Arabidopsis thaliana: one gene and its partner. The protein of the gene in region 2 interacts with the protein of the main gene of each other region in a pairwise test. Each region holds a gene or a part of one and is shown on either strand. Other genes may lie near its edges. The genes, in order: ZF3 and AT2G39725.

Evidence for each region.
Region 1: the proteins of AT2G39725 (region 2) and ZF3 interact in a two-hybrid assay, tested with the Arabidopsis thaliana proteins (one large-scale study listed by BioGRID).

Annotation. Positions count from the first base shown.
Region 1 is NC_003076.8:17,327,604-17,335,703, forward strand, and holds ZF3 (zinc-finger protein 3), read right to left. Parts: upstream 4,044-8,100; 5' UTR 4,029-4,043; coding exon 3,447-4,028; 3' UTR 3,342-3,446; downstream 1-3,341. Other genes in the region: AT5G43155 (QWRF motif protein), read left to right, coding at 857-1,548, 1,613-1,637; QWRF9 (QWRF motif protein (DUF566)), read left to right, coding at 1,672-1,977, 2,166-2,285, 2,522-2,638, 2,720-2,809, 2,904-3,011, 3,089-3,133; AT5G43175 (basic helix-loop-helix (bHLH) DNA-binding superfamily protein), read left to right, coding at 6,658-6,882, 6,961-7,179, 7,267-7,398, 7,536-7,631. UniProt on the Arabidopsis thaliana protein: Transcriptional repressor probably involved in abiotic stress responses. Binds DNA in a sequence-specific manner and can repress the transactivation activity of other transcription factors.
Region 2 is NC_003071.7:16,564,650-16,572,986, forward strand, and holds AT2G39725 (LYR family of Fe/S cluster biogenesis protein), read left to right. Parts: upstream 1-4,780; 5' UTR 4,781-4,866; exon of another isoform or gene 4,867-4,934; intron 4,935-5,413; 5' UTR 5,414-5,420; coding exon 5,421-5,693; 3' UTR 5,694-6,099; downstream 6,100-8,337. Other genes in the region: RHC2A (RING-H2 finger C2A), read right to left, coding at 2,857-4,062; RCA (rubisco activase), read right to left, coding at 6,302-6,417, 6,542-6,823, 6,905-7,377, 7,469-7,554, 7,654-7,759, 7,851-8,167.

The DNA of each region.
Region 1 (8,100 bases), on a different chromosome or scaffold from region 2:
CCAATCTTTTTGAATAATCTATTTATTATATTGATTCTGAAGAAGATGAGAAAAATGATAAGGATCAATATGATGTTCGTACGCATAGTCTACCATATGAAAAATACGGTCCATATACATGTTCTAAATGTAAAGGTGTGTTTAATACTTCTCAAAGTTTTGCTGCACATATGTTATCTCATTACAATCATGAGACGACCAAAGAAAGAGAACATAGACTTACTGCAAGAAACAAGAAAAGATATCGTAATTACATGGAAAATCTCAAAAGATCACAACAGAAGGTGGGATCCATATTAGTGACATAAGTGACAATGAAACTTTTCAAAATCTTGTATCATAAAAGAAGAGTTTGTTTATGATTTATTTATTTCATATCTCTTATTCAACTTATTTTATTTAAATAAATAATGCAAACTTGTCTTCTATTTATAGTATTTCATAATATTTGTTATTACCAGGAATGGATATGCATATTTGCACAGAAAATTGTAATCTTTATTTGCTCTTTATATTTTAAGGTTTGGTTTTGAGTTTTTTTTATAAAATAATTTCTTAAATTTCAATAAATAATACGCATACACAATTACGCATGTTAAGCCATATTAATTAATAAAGGAAAGAGACGACAGTTATACCCTCACAAAACTTAAACGTAATTATCTCCCCACCTTCCCCACTCTATTCTCAAGTTCGCCGGAGATTTATACTAACACTGCAAAATTCACTCACATTTCTACTAAAATCAAAACCCTAGTCTCGCCGGGAATCTCTCAAATCCGTAAAAATCTTCTCTATTCAATCTCTCCTTGCTCACATTCAATAACGAGGCAATGTTGATTTCTCAATGTCGGAGATGACAGCTGCAACAATTTCACCTTCTTTCAACGCAAACGTTAAACAGAACAAACCACCGTCGTTTCCATCGGAATCATCAAATCGCCGCCCAAAAACACGAGATGTAGCATCACGATACCTTGGCGGTACTTCTTCTTTCTTCCACCAATCATCACCGAAGAGATGTCAATCTCCGATCGTTACTCGACCGGTGACTCCGTCGTCTGTTGCTACTAATCGGCCGCAATCAACACCACGTCGTGAGTCTTTAGATCGACGAGAAGTTTCTAAAGCGGAGAGGATGTTGTTGACTTCTGGGAGAAGCTTGTTCGCGTCGTTTCAGGCGGATTCGTTTACTCCAGGAACATTAGAGAGGAGGAAGACGACTTCTTCGGCAACAATATCTAAGAGTGGTGGAGGTAAACAAGAGAAATTGAAACTCTCTGATCAATGGCCTAGGTCTCTGCAACCTAGTTGTTTAAGTAGTAGAAGTGTAGATTTCACTGATACTAGGAAGAAATTGATCGGATCTGGCAATGGTGTAGCTAGAGCTCTGCAGGATTCCATGGTTAGTAATAGACCGGTTTCGCGTGAGCGGATAACGAGTGTTGATTTGGAGACAGAGAGTGTTTCTTCTGGAAGCTCTAATGGAAGAGGGAAAATGTTACCAGCTCGTGGCAATGTGGTTAAGGCGAGAGTTTCGCAGGATCGGTTAGAGCCTAGCTCACATGGACTGAGGAAGATATCTGTGGATAGTTCTGTATTGTCCCCAAAGGAAGCCAATTGTTTCCAAAAAGTGAGCAGATTCGACCTGCTTCACCTAGTAAATTTGGTATGAATGCAGCTTTGTCAAGTCCGAGAGGAACTAGCATTGCTAGAGGTTTAAGCCCTTCGAGAGAGGTTGTTCCTCCAAGAGGGGTTAGTCCTTCAGATAGAATGAGTCCACTAAGAGTGAGAAGCTCACTGAGTAAAAACACGCCTTTGATTCCGCATTTTGCTGTGGATGGTAAAGAGAAGATCAGAGATAATGGGGTTGCTGATGCTCACTTGTTAAGGCTATTACACAGTAGGTTGCTGCAATGGCAATTTGCTAATGCACGAGCAAATGCTGTTATCTCTTCACAAAAGATGAGAGAGGAGGTTAGACCTTTTCTTCCTGAATGCTTTAGAATCTTGATTATTGATAGCACAACAGCTATTGGTTGTAGAAATCTGTCAGTTTCAGTCAAAACAATCTCGTACGTACATCTGTGTTGTGTTGAAAATTCGAATTTATTTATGTTAGTACAGGCTTGTCTCTGTCCAAGTGATTATATTTTTCATTGCAGAGAAGACTGTACAATGCATGGAGAAGTATCTCTAATCTGTATAATTCTGTCAGCATGAAAAGAATTGAAATGCAGCACCTGAAGCAGAATTTGAAACTGATATCTATCCTCAATATGCAGGTAAGTTAATCCGCTTTTGTTATTTATTGAACTGCCTTTAGCCCCTGTGCTCTTTTAGTAACACTATATAAGTTACTCTCAGTCTTCTGTTCTTCCCTTTTCTGTTCTTTCTTTTATATCTCTATTTCGGTTCCTTTGTATGCTCTGCTTATTACAGCATTGGGACCTCCTAAAAGCTTCATCTAATTGAATTTTACTTAGCCAGAAACTTAAATGTTTTTCATGCCTATGTATAGATGGGACATCTAGAAGAGTGGTTGGTTATTGATCGGAATTATATGGGTTCTTTGGTAGGAGCTGCTGAAGCTTTGAAAGGCAGCACCCTTTGTCTACCTGTTGATTGCGGGGCAATGGTTTGGCTATTCTACTCAAATTATTTTTTAGTTATGTGTTGGGAAAGCATGTGATCCTTGCTGATGATCATGTTATCGCAGGTAAATGTACAAAGTGTTAAGGATGCCATTTGTTCAGCAGTTGATGTTATGCAAGCAATGGCATCTTCCATATGCTTGTTGCTGCCAAAGGTGACTCTTCTTTTCTCTCGGATAATGTTTATGGCACAATCTTCTATTGCGTTTTATTCATATTGTATCTTCAAAGTGAAAGCCAATATCCCAGGTTGGGAAAATAAGTAGCTTGGCAGCAGAACTTGGCCGTGTGAATGCCAAGGACGAAGGGATGCTCGACGTGTGCCGGGACCTTCTAAACACAATCTCAGCTCTGCAGGTACAATATCTCAAATTCATTATAGATTTGTCTGCACTATACCTACAGTGTTGGGGATTAATCTCTAAACTATGCAGGTAACAGAATGCAGTTTGAGGACACAGGTTACACAGCTACAATAGTAAGGTGGCAAAGTTAACAAAACAGAGTGTAAGTAAGAAAGCTACTCATTATCGGCAATTTTGGAGTTATGAGAATGTAAGGAGATCATCTAATTCAAATAGAGAGGCCAAATTCACTTGATAGTTTAACAACCAAACAAAAGTCAGTTGTAAATATTTTCGATTCGGTTTTCTAATGAATTTAGTATGCTGTTACTTCAGAAACAAAGGAATTGAATCGTATTGTGTATTGGTAATAGAATCAACAAAACTGTTCCTTGAAATTGAAATTTGATATTTACATTTGATAAACTTCCAGGTCTTCAACAAAGACTTACTTCAGGCGAGGCTTCTTAGTCGCCATCGGACTCATCACTTCGTCGTCCGGCGAAAATCCCTGCACCGGTATAATATTAAGGTCAAATCCACGGTGGCTACTACTGCTGACGTGGCTAGTAGACCCCACACCTTCCGAGTTCGAAACGCCACCATCGTAGTGGCACCGCTTGTGGCCGCCGAGAGCTTGACCGGTGGCGAAAGATTTCCCGCAAACCGAACAAACGTGAGATTTCACGGCGGTGGATGGTGTCGATTTATCATTCTCTCCACCACCGTATAAGCTCCGGTGGCTCGCTTTATGACCGCCGAGAGCTTGGTAAGACGAAAACGTCTTGTAACAAACGCCACACTTATAACTCGGCTTCTCCGCAACCGTCACAGAGTCAAGATCGCCGCCATCCCGAGCAAGAAGCATGAGACAGAAAGCTAGATACTCTTCCTCAGTGAGACGGTGGTTATGATGAAGATCAGATCTCGAACGTTTGGATCGTTTCTTACATTTGGTCCACTGCTCAACGCCATTGAATCTTAAGGGATCCTCGACCAATCTTGGTGAATTAAGAGCTTCAAGCGCCATTGCTATAGAAAATTTAAAACCTAATTTGAGAGCAGAGAGATATATAGAAGAAGGTGAAGTATGGAGAAGAATCTTGAGAAGAGAGGAAGTTGCGTGAGAAAGAAGAGTGAGAGTGGGTGGCCAAATTGGCCATTCTAATTATTTTAAGTATTTAGTTGAAACGAAATATGTGCTGAGCAAGTTGTTTGTTGTAAGTTGTAACGAAAGTGAATGTATAATTAAAATATTATTTCAACATTTGGTGAGAGTGGAATATATTAATTTTGGCACGTTTTGTGGGGGAGAGAAATGTTACACAAGTCGGGCTATATACTCTTCTTCTGACTAGTTGAGAGTTGACATTTGAATCCAACTACACACAATAATGATTGATTCTTTAAAACTAATAAAAACCTTGTCTCTAAACTTAGGCCGTATTTTACAATTAATATTCATCTAGCTTTTCATTTATGTTTTAACACTTTGCTTATATATGTAGTTATTTATTTAAGTGTAGGTTTGTTGTACCTTTGGGAATTTCTGAACAAACCCAATAGCATTCATTACTTGGTCCAAACATTTGAAAACGGAGGCAATGTGTGTAGATTAAGATTATAATGAGGAAACCTTGAATATAAAAGATGATTGGATGTTTCGGTAGAGAACTCATGACAACAAGAAACAAAGAGCTTATAACTTAATTCCCACAGCCCATTGCAACCAAGAATCATGAAATTTTCTTTATTGGTTTTAATTCAAATGCGTGAATGTCTAGAGTTGAAGTTACACTAAATTGGATTCAACAACTTGTGTCATGATACGGTATAAGAGTTTTGGTTTAATGGTCTTCTCTTTAGTATAAGGTTTTGGGACTTTTCTTTTAAAGTTAGGATTATGGGTGCTTTTTTCACGTTTAGGTTAGAATCTAAGTTGTATCATTTTTACTAGCTATTTACGTTATAATATAGATTGTATAATTACTTATATAATTAGGTCTTTATGCTAACTAAAAAATAATTTCCAACAATTAATTAACCTAATTCTCTAAGAGTAACCTATCTCTCTCTCTTTTCTCACATTACGAGATCTAAAAGACACATCATGTTAGATGCCTAAAAACGAAAAGCCTAATGAAGTGTAATGATTCTTAGGCTTGCTGCAACTAACGAGTTTAAGACAAGCTACCGAAGCAGATATACCAGCAAAGTTTGGTGGCCTGAGCAACGATGACCTTCGTAAACTCTTGAAAAACATATGGGTCATGCATGTGCTTTCACGAATATAATGTGTGCATATATCTCTAAACCTTTAGTTTTTCCTTTCACAAGCGGAAGGGGGACCTTTTGGGTTATGTTGCAATGGGAGAATCGTCGGTAACAGATTATGCATGGTTGAATCATCAATAGCTTAACAACATCTAGTATAAACTTGTGTGTAATCTTTAGAAAGAAAAAACTTTATAATTAATCTAGTAACGGGATGTTGAAAAAATAGATCTAACAACCAATGAATAGCTAATCGGTGAGATTAATGCATTGTACCTTAACTCAAACTTAGAGACAAGAATACATTTCCGAGCTGTGTTTCTTTGTTTTTATTATGGACAATGACTTTTGACTTATTAAATTTTATCTGTCTCTGTAAGGGTGATCTTAAGACAAGCAAACGAGTGTGAATCTGATCTTGTCGGAATCTCAAATTATTCCGTGCCGTCCTTTGGTCTTCTACTATTACTTTGTTCATTATCTTTTAACAATATGTATTATAGGAATTTGAATCAAGCTAATTAGACAACGACCACATTAGCATGCAGATACATATTCTAGTCACGAGTAAATTGTTGTTTAGACTAAAAAGTAGCTCGTCTATATTGTTTATCATCATCTTTAATTACGTATTCAATTCTTATTGGGTTAATTAGATTCGATTTGTAGTTAGAATATTTTTTTAAAAAATTAGTTAGTAAAAATGTTGGGTTGTGAATTCACTTTTTTTGGACTCGCTATGTGATCCGACACTCGGACATTAACGATAATATCTACATGTCTACAGTTTAATTAGTTTAAGCGAATCGTGAATTTTTTTCTTATTGGATGGATCGACACTCCGAACCCCAACGTAAGATCATCCATGTTTTGCGGAAAAAGAGAAATTATTCACATCTGGATTATAGTATTTCATTGACTATTTATTTTCCCAAACGTTAGAAAACTAACAAAACAAGTTCATTGTCACAGGACATTTTTGTACATAACGTGCATTGGGGGCGCCCCATATATTCTTTCTTTACTCTATTTGTGATTGTGTGTACATTAAAATGTTTAACATTCATTGAAAAACATGAATCCTTCTATATATATATAGAATATACTAACATTAATGTACTCGTCATGCAATGGAGTGGCATAACCTCTTTGACTCTGTCTAAACTTGGCTTTTACCGACCCCACAAGTTGACTAATCGTAGTTGAGCATGGTAGGTTAAGAACATTAAGACTTGTTCAAGATACAATGAGATTTTAAAACCCTGATTTTATAATCAGCCATCAAATATTTATATTCCTTCTCAAAGTTATTCTCCTCATGTCTCTAATATAAGCTTGAACGTTGCTATATATAAATGTAAAGGCGAACGCATAAGAAAAGAAAAATGGAGAATGAAGCTTTTGTAGATGGTGAATTGGAGTCTCTTTTGGGGATGTTCAACTTTGATCAATGTTCATCTAACGAATCGAGCTTTTGCAATGCTCCAAATGAGACTGATGTTTTCTCTTCTGATGATTTCTTCCCATTTGGTACAATTCTGCAAAGTAACTATGCGGCCGTTCTTGATGGTTCCAACCACCAAACGAACCGAAATGTCGACTCAAGACAAGTAAGTTTAAGTAAAAAATGTTAAGTTTCCTATGTTTACATTTGTCGAATATTAACCCATAACGGTAATGCAAAGCAGGATCTGTTGAAACCAAGGAAGAAGCAAAAGTTAAGCTCGGAAAGCAATTTGGTTACCGAGCCTAAGACTGCTTGGAGAGATGGTCAAAGCCTAAGCAGTTATAATAGTTCAGATGATGAAAAGGCTTTAGGTTTAGTGTCTAATACATCAAAAAGCCTAAAACGCAAAGCGAAAGCCAACAGAGGGATAGCTTCCGATCCTCAGAGCCTATACGCTAGGGTAATTCAAGATAACCTAAACAAATATTTTCATTGTTGATTTGAGTTTTTAGGTTTTGTGGAATAATAATGTTGATGAATGTTGCAGAAACGAAGAGAAAGGATAAACGATAGGCTAAAGACATTGCAGAGCCTAGTTCCTAATGGGACAAAGGTCGATATAAGCACAATGCTGGAAGATGCTGTCCATTACGTGAAGTTCCTGCAGCTTCAAATCAAGGTAACGACTTTTTTTCTTGTTGGAGTATTGATCGTTTCTTGTACTGCAAGAAACCATGTAAAACTCTTACCTAAACTCTGTTTTACCATTTTTCCTAACCAAACACTTTTGTCGTTTTTGGAAATTTTGCAATGTAGCTCTTGAGTTCAGAAGATCTATGGATGTATGCACCTCTTGCTCACAATGGTCTGAATATGGGACTACATCACAATCTTTTGTCTCGGCTTATTTAAGACAAAATCATTGGAATAACATAACTTACAGTACTTGTTTTTTTTCTCGTTCTATATTCATGATTATGGTTATTTTTTGTTTGAGTTGTTCAATTTTTCTGTCTATTGCGTTCTATGAACTTGACACTCTTTTTGTAATTATTATATGCTAAAGACAATTTGGACTAACAGCATTTTAATTTTAATCTTCTTTTAAGATGTACCTGAAAGTCATAAATATTATTTTAAGGACTACCAATATTTATTTAGATATCAATTCAATATCGTACGTACTAGATGTGTTTATTTAATTTCATAAATATTAGAGGTACTTTTCAGATTTTATTTCGGAAGCTAGTTTTTAACATAATTACCGTTGTATACATAATTAAAAGGCGAGTTAGAATTTATGAATACGAATATTTGTGAGTGCATGCGCAGTCTCTGCGAAGGGGATCGGACGTGCTAATGTTTTATGCATTTATCCAAT
Region 2 (8,337 bases):
TCAAACCGAGTCATGCTTGCCGTGTAGTATATTTAAGGTAAACGAATGTTGAATTATATATTGTAATTTTGCAGAGTTTGTCAAAGTTGGCGAAAGGTGGTGATGAAATCGACAAAAGATTTGTCAAATGTGTGCTGGATGCAACCCATTCCTAAGTCGTTCTCAATTCTCACCAACTCCTCCCTGTTGTGTTACCAAATAACTCCTTTTTCTTTCAACCAATTAAGCACCAACAAATTATTTTTGGTCTTAGGACAATGAGTCTCAGCCAATATAATTATAGAGTTACAGCTACAAGGTGACATTTTAGTGGTCAAAACTTCACTTAATCACAATTGATTTGAAGCTCTTGACAAAAAAACTCCAAACATGAAGGCAATGAATCATTAATAAAAAACTACTTAATTGAGTAAAAATTTGTAAATTAAGTTATCAATAGTCCATCATGTTGATAAAGGGGTAGTATAACACTCGTGAACCGGAATAAGATATCCCTAAATCAAAAGCATAGTTTGTATTAACAACCTTTGTCGAAAATTGAAAACGGCCTCGAGCATTTAATGTTGGGACTGTTTTTCTCAGGGTGATTGGATGTGATCATGGACCAAGCCAATCTCGAGAATGTTTCTTATCATCTTTGTGGATGCCACTGACTCACTAATATCGTCGCGCCACTTGCAACCCGGAGTAGACAAACGGGTATATGATTATAATGCTCCTACAATTTTACACTACATTTTGGTGTTATCACGTTCGTGGAAAAACCAACACCAAGGAAAACATAAAAACAAACTGAAGAAGTAAAGTCAATTCTGAATAAATGCGTTATTTGTATTTTTCGTATGTATATTTCTTTTTGGTGGCAAGGCCAGACCATTGTGTATGGGGACCCCAATCTTTCTGTTTGTAGTATTATGGTCTAATAAGATTGACGTGAAAAATCCAATATTTGATTATGAGTGTGAAAGTGATTGGAGCTAAATAATGAATTACGAGTCTATGTGAACTAGTTTGTCCCGTTTACATCACTTGGCTCATAGCCTGCTAGCTGATTAAAATTTGAGTATTCTTTGGTGGTATGTTAATAATGATATATAAGATGTTTGTGTTGCATATATATGGTTCTGAATTTCTTTGTGATACAACCTTGACCATAACATGAATTATGGAAATATGTATGGGTGAATTGGTGAAATAATCAAAAAGTAAAGTAACATTGGTGAATCAACATGTTTATTCCAAAACTGGTCAATGCCATAAAGTAGTGTTTGCCTTTATAACTTATTATTTGAAACTTTATAGATCAAACATCACAATTTGCGCATATTATTCATATAAAACAGTTGAAGTTATATCATGGAATATTAAAACAGCAAAAAGAAACCTATTCATTATATAATTGCATGAAAAAATAGAAGAATAGTGTAAGACTCTACTATTGTATTTTCTTGATATAATATGGGCCCTGTATATGGGTGCTAAACAGACCATAACATAGCGCTGGGCTTAGAGTCACATACACTAAGAATGTTATTTCAGACACAAGGCCTCTCTCAGCGAGAGTGAACAAGTGAGAAATGTGTTCAGTTCATGATTTTAGGAGGCTGAGTAAGGGTTTAAGTGGTTGGTGTTTTCTATCTACTAGCCTTATGTTAGCATTGGTGTTGAATGTTGATTTTCCACGTTGGATACGATCTGAACTTCCAACATGCGAGGTTGATGATACTCATGGGCACAAAACAAATTCTCTCTTTTCTGGTTTTTTTATTTAAAAAAAAAAAAAAAAGTTTGGCATTTCATTAGGAAAATCTGAATTTTGTCTTTAAGTAATCGATTTTCAAATCCCTAACTTTAATACTTAACTTCAGAAGGCTAAGCATTTGGGTTTAGGTCATTTTTTTCCTGCTATTGTTGATATTCAACGGCCCGAAAAATAGAAAACAAAATCAGTTTCAAATTCAATAATGTGATAGAGTAAGTGTACATTCACATAGGAGACATAAACGGGCATAAACAAATCTATTAATGGAAAATAATGGCTAAATTACAAAGACTGTCTCCAATAAACGACAGCATCATCAGATGCGTTGTATAAAAACTCTATTATTGCTTTACTTCACGTTTCCTGTGGTTATTGACCTCAAACTTAATTGGTCTCTTTATAAGATTCTTCTATATATAGCCTCTAGGTAAGTATCATTGGGTTGTGTCTGCAGTTCCAAGATTATAGCTGTACAAGTTTGGCAGCATAATTCTCTTTAGGCGTGGAAAATAAACCATCAACTTAAAAATTAATGAAAAACTTAGGTTTGAACACTAAAGATTTAGTCATCTAAGTATGTACTCACAGGTTAATATATATTAAAACCCATAGTATTGGTTAGTAACACCACATATGTATACTCTGAAATGAATTGCAGGAAATCTACTCCACAAAATAACTTTTCAAGTTTGTTGAAAAGTCATGTAATGATAATATCGTTTGGAAATCATTCGCTATTTTATGGTTAAGCTGCTTAACATTAGTATCACAATCCATAGACTCACGTAACGATTTCTACAAATAGAACAACTATGAATCTCCTTCAGAGTACATTCTTCAATTCATCTACACTCTCACTTATCTAGTCACAGACTCACAGTAACATATCCTCCTAAATTTGCCACTGAAGACACTATGTCACCTAATTTTGTATCAATTTACTCGCATAGATTCAAATTTTAGGAATGAATATAATCATTACACTGAAATAGACAAAAACTTAATAAGGAACATAGGAAAAATTTAAACAGAAGAAGAGTGTGTTCTTTCGTGTTTAGTTTTCACCTGAGAAGAGAGCTTGGTAATTCTAGTAATCACGCTAGCCAATTTCGTCTCCTTGACGAAGACGACGCCGTACTGAACATAGAGAACGACCTGGTTCTACGAGTAACCCGAATTCTGGACCCGGACCCGGATGATGCAGCAGCAGCAGCAGCAATGGATCCAGATGATCCACTAAAACATCCGAAAAGCCTCATGATCCGACCCGCAAAGCCACCACCTCTCTCTCTACTACCTCCACCATCTCTTCCACCTCTTCTCGAACCCCAAGCTACTCTTCTCGGAAGTCTCTCATCACCGAGTCTACCACCATCAACCTCCGTGTAAACCACCGGCATCATTCTATCTCCACCTCTCCAACCACCAGGGATTCTCCCTACAGCGAATCCTCCACCTGGTAACCTCCAAATCGTTAACCCCGCAGCTGAGTCTTCCTCTTCCTCTGCAGTAGCGGTAACAGCAGTCAAAGCAGCACCGGTTCCGTCGGTGAGATCCTCCGCCGGTAGCTCATGACGGCAAACCGGACAAGAGTTACGAATCGCAAGCCAAGGAAGAATACAATCAGGATGATAGATGTGATTACAAGGCATCTCGCGAGCAGATGATTTCAAAACGAAATTCTCTTTGCAAACAGCGCAATGAGATTGAGAATCCGATAAGAGATGAGTCGGATCGATTTCAATCAGAGGCAAAGCTTCAATGGCCGATTTAGAAGCCGGTGGATGTTCACAAGAACGAAGATTCCGATTGGTGTTAAGCTCGATCTGAGAAATCTGATCTAACAAACGATCAAATCCAGAACCTAACAAAAACTCAGTCATACTCGGTGGTAAAGGTCTAAGACCAGAATCAGTACCATCATCGTAATACATCTGAAAAGCAGATCGATCTAAACCTTCGGAAACAACATCAGAAGAAGGAGCAGCAGCAGATCCACGGAGAACAATAACTGGATTAGGAGATCGATTGCTTCGTGTACGAGTAACGATGGTAGGAGTGGGACTGTTATCGGCGTGCATAGAAGCGGATGGGGTGGAGGAAGAAGAAGAAGGAGGAGGGAAGCGAGTGGGGCTGCGATGTTGAGTGGTGGTGGTGGTGGTGAAGGAATCGGAAGGTGTGAAATCGAGAGGCTCTTGGATGAGTTCGAGGAAACCACCGTCGCAATCAGGGCAAGAGATTGAATCGGAAACCCAAACGAATCGGCTACAACTATAGCACCAGTAAGATCCAGAAGCCATGAGAATAGGGATCTGAAAGAGAGGAAAATGAAATCAAATCTTCAGGAAGAAGAAGATGATAAAAACATCTGGGAGGATTTGGGATTTGATATGATTGACTTTTAATTTGAGGATAAACGGAGGAGAAGAAGGAGGTGTTAACAAGAAGATTACAGAATTGGCTTATACCCAACCGTCCATTTCGTGTGCTGTCACCACCACCTCCTCCTCTTTTTTTTTTTTTCCTCCTTGTTGGTAATTTTAATTAAACGGTTTTTTTTTTTTTTTTGAAAATTGAAACTGTTTGTTACCCTGAAATAATAACTACCCATCACCCCCACTAATTCATATTTTTGATTATTTAGATTAGTGATTTTGATTGTAAAGTGGTAAAAAAAAAAAAGAGTCTTGACCAACAACAAAAAAGTCGGTAAGTAAAAGAGTAACAAATTGCTTAACATATTTGCAAAACTATAAATAACAATGTGTTTTTGATTAAATTACGTATTATTGGATAAAATAACAATAAACTAAAATATTGTTTGCTTAAAAGATTGGTCAACTAGTTAAAACTTAAAAGATTTAGGGTCATTTGGTTTATATTCTCTTAATGAAAGTATAGAAGAAAAAAAAAAGAAAAGCCCATTATAGTCAATAGATAAAGCCCATTTATATTGTAATAATGCAAAAGCGTAATGAAAAAGCCCAGTATAGCCCATTAACTATTGTAATTTCGCCTCGATTAAATTGTCCCAGAATAGTTAGTGAGAAGAATCCCAGAGTTTCTTCCATCTCTCGCTCTTTCGATTTTGGAGATATTTACAGGTACGCTTGCTTTTCCCTTCACAACATCTTCTTCTTCCTGCTCCTCTGTTTCAAATTCCGAAAATCAGGTATTTCTCTTAATCTGGAAAATGTTCTATTTGAGGAAATGAAATTATGCCACTTCTGCTAGTATTTTTTGTGTGATGAAACAGCCCTGGATCTCGTTGAATCAGATACTGTCACAATTTTGTTTACATATATATCTTCTTGAGCTATATTATCTGAGTTTGAGTAATAGACAATAGAATTTAAAATCCTTGTTAGTCACAATTCTGATTAGTATCGTTCGTTTTCTCTCTGAATCTGAGGCCAACATTGTCTGTTTTGCTTGAAGAACCCTGTTCTCTTGTAGACTCATTAACCGCTTTTGTTATAGCTGAATATTCTATTTCTAAGCTGCACTACATGATTCCTAATTTCTTTTGTCTACATGTTATCTTATTGATTGTTGTTCATCACTATGCTTAATTGTTTCTTATGTGCTTGAAAAATGCAGTAACATGACAATATTATTGATTAGCTTGTTTTGTTTGGTCTTTGTTTAAAGATAAAAAATGGGAGCTTCGAAACTTTCCGGGATGCAAAAGCAAGTCTTGAGTCTCTACAGAGGATTTCTAAGAGCAGCTCGTTCAAGACCAATAGAAGACAGGAAGAGAATAGAGATGATTGTGTCAACAGAGTTCCGCCACAACTCTAAGGAGGTCGACCGTAAGAATTTTCAGTACATCGAGTATTTGCTTCGGTTAGGTACTAAACAGCTTGATCAACTCAAAAGCCCTGCCATAGTTAGCCTCTCCTCGATCAAGGTCGTTACATCTAAAACCTGATACCTTATTTTATAGCTTGTTGCTCTAGTGACCATAGATAACAAAGCTGAGGAAATTGATTCGTTTTCCTCTTTTTACATTGAGTTATGTATGTATGATGATGGATGTTCAAGGTCCATTATAAAATAAAGAGAATTGTGATCACAATTGAATATATATATACACTTTCACACAATTATGTGCATCTGCTAATAGTCTAGAGATTGCAATCATTCAATATGAGAAGCAATGTATCAGATTTCATCTTTGTAAGAGTACCAGTCAATGGTGTAGTGCTCCGTTGCCAATGGTCTTGCTTTACATGTGAATGCGACACATTGTTTTTTTCCGGATTCAGTTTTGTCCTATAGTTCTGTTCTACTTAGTGCTATTTGGCCTCAGATTTTGTATACTTTATATGTCTAAGCATTTACCTAGTGTGCAACATTGGAATAAGAAGTGTAGTTTATGACAAGGCAATTTTAAATTACCAATGTGTTGTACATCATAAAAAAAAAAAAAGGGAACAAAAGAGGACAAGATCCAATCCACAATTACACAAAGGAGAAAAATAAACCAAAAGAGACAATAGGAGTAAAACAGCAAATTAATAAGCAGGATAATATTGCTCAAAAGTTGTAGACACAGGTTCCATCGTCACTTCTAGCCGTTGGATCAAAGTTTTCAGCCACAGGATCAGTACACCCTTCAGGAACTGGCAGGTTTACTTGCTGGGCTCCTTTTCCTGCAAGTCAAGTAAGTTTAACTTCAGAAAACCTAATTCCATTTTCTTCTCTTTCTCTTTTACATTTTCATACCCAGTGGCCAACTAAACCAAAAAACAAACGAGTTTCAAACCTCTGTTTTACCGTAGAAAGTTCCGCGGCCGATGGCGTCAGCGTTTGCGTCTCCCAAAGCAGCCTGGCTGAGGTAGGTCTCGGCAAGTTGGACTCTCTTGACATTCTCTTGTTCCATCACAAGCATGTTTCCGTATTCCATAAGCTTCTCATAAGTCATCTCGGGTTGCTCGAACACGGGAGGTCCTTCCCTTGAGTTAACCAGCCTCTTTCCGATCTTCTCAACTCCAAGGCTCTCAACGAACTTCCTCACTTCATCATCGTACACTCTCGCCCTCAAAGCACCGAAGAAATCTGTCCACACCAAAAACACATATCAGATTCTGCACGAGGTCCTATATAGAACATTTTCAGGGTAGTAAGAATCTTTCTTACCGATAGATTGACCAGGGAACTGATCAACAAGTGTGACAATGTCTTCGTCCTTGATCTTGTCAGTTCTGAAGATACCCTTGCAGACACCGATACGGTCTTCACGGGTCGGGGCCCAGTAGAACTTCTCCATACGTCCATCACGGATGAGAGGAGCGTATAGGGTGGAGAAATCGTTACCAGTGCAAATGATGGGGACACGTGCGTTCTCTTCCTTGTTGTACATTCCTGGGAGCTGGACGTTGGTTGGGTTATCAGCAATGTTCATGAGTGTTGCGTTAACCATCTGGTTGTTGACAGTGTACTGAGTAGTACCACCCATACGACCCGCACCAGCGTCAAGATCGTTGATGAAGAGACAACACATCTTTCCCTTCTTGATCAAGTCAGCTGCCTCACGGTACCTCTGACGGATAAGCTTTGCGGGTTCTCCTGCGTTTCCACTCTCAAGCTCTCCAGCACTCATCATGATTGGGCTGCAAAAAGATTCAAACTTTTTTAGATTCTTGTCGAAAGAGAGCTAAACAGAAACCGGGTCAAGATCGGAGATTTGGGAAATGGACTCACTTGATACCCATCTTGGCCATGACAAGCTCACACTGGAAGGATTTACCTTGACCTTTGCCTCCCCATATACCCAAAATAAGTGGAACCTATGAGACAAAAAAAACAGGCATTTAAAGATCAATAAAGTTGTGTAATAAGTCAAGATTGCACCAAAAAATACTCAAAAGAAAAACTTTAAATTATACCTTGATGTTAGGCAGAGTCAAGAAGTTCTTGGTGATGTGAACAACAAGCTTGTCCATGAAAGCAGGAGCAATGTAAAACCCATCCATCATGTTGTCCAAGTTGTACCTATATTTCAAGAAGTAAAGACAATTTTTAAAACCAAAGACTCCAAAATCTTTATGGAACTAATGAGAGATCTAGAGAGATGAGAACTTACTGCCTAAGGCCTTGGCTAACGTATTCGTATGAGCTAAGGACAGCGTGGTGAGTTCCGGTTCCCATAGGAGCTTGGAAGACAGAGTCAACCATACCCTTGCCTCTGGTGATGTCTTGTTGATCATCAGAAGTGTCGTAGGCAAGACCTCTCCATCTGTCTCCATCGGTTTGTTTGTCTTCTTTCACAGCCAACACCTTGAATGATCCGTTGCTCTTCTTGTTGCTCTGTGCGAATCTCGACACAGTTACAACTTTCTTTCCCAAGAAGGTTGAAGCTGGGGCTGATACAGCTCCTGATCCTGACCCGTTCAAGCTCAACTGCAACACACACACAAAAACAGTTCAATCACCAATCATGAATTCAAGTTTGGTTTATATGGTTCAAGAACCGGTTTAGAGACTATTCCTAAGGATAAAAGGCGCTCAATCAGGAACTGAACCGAACCAAACCGGGGAATAAACTTTAATTTGGTTCACATAGCTCAAGG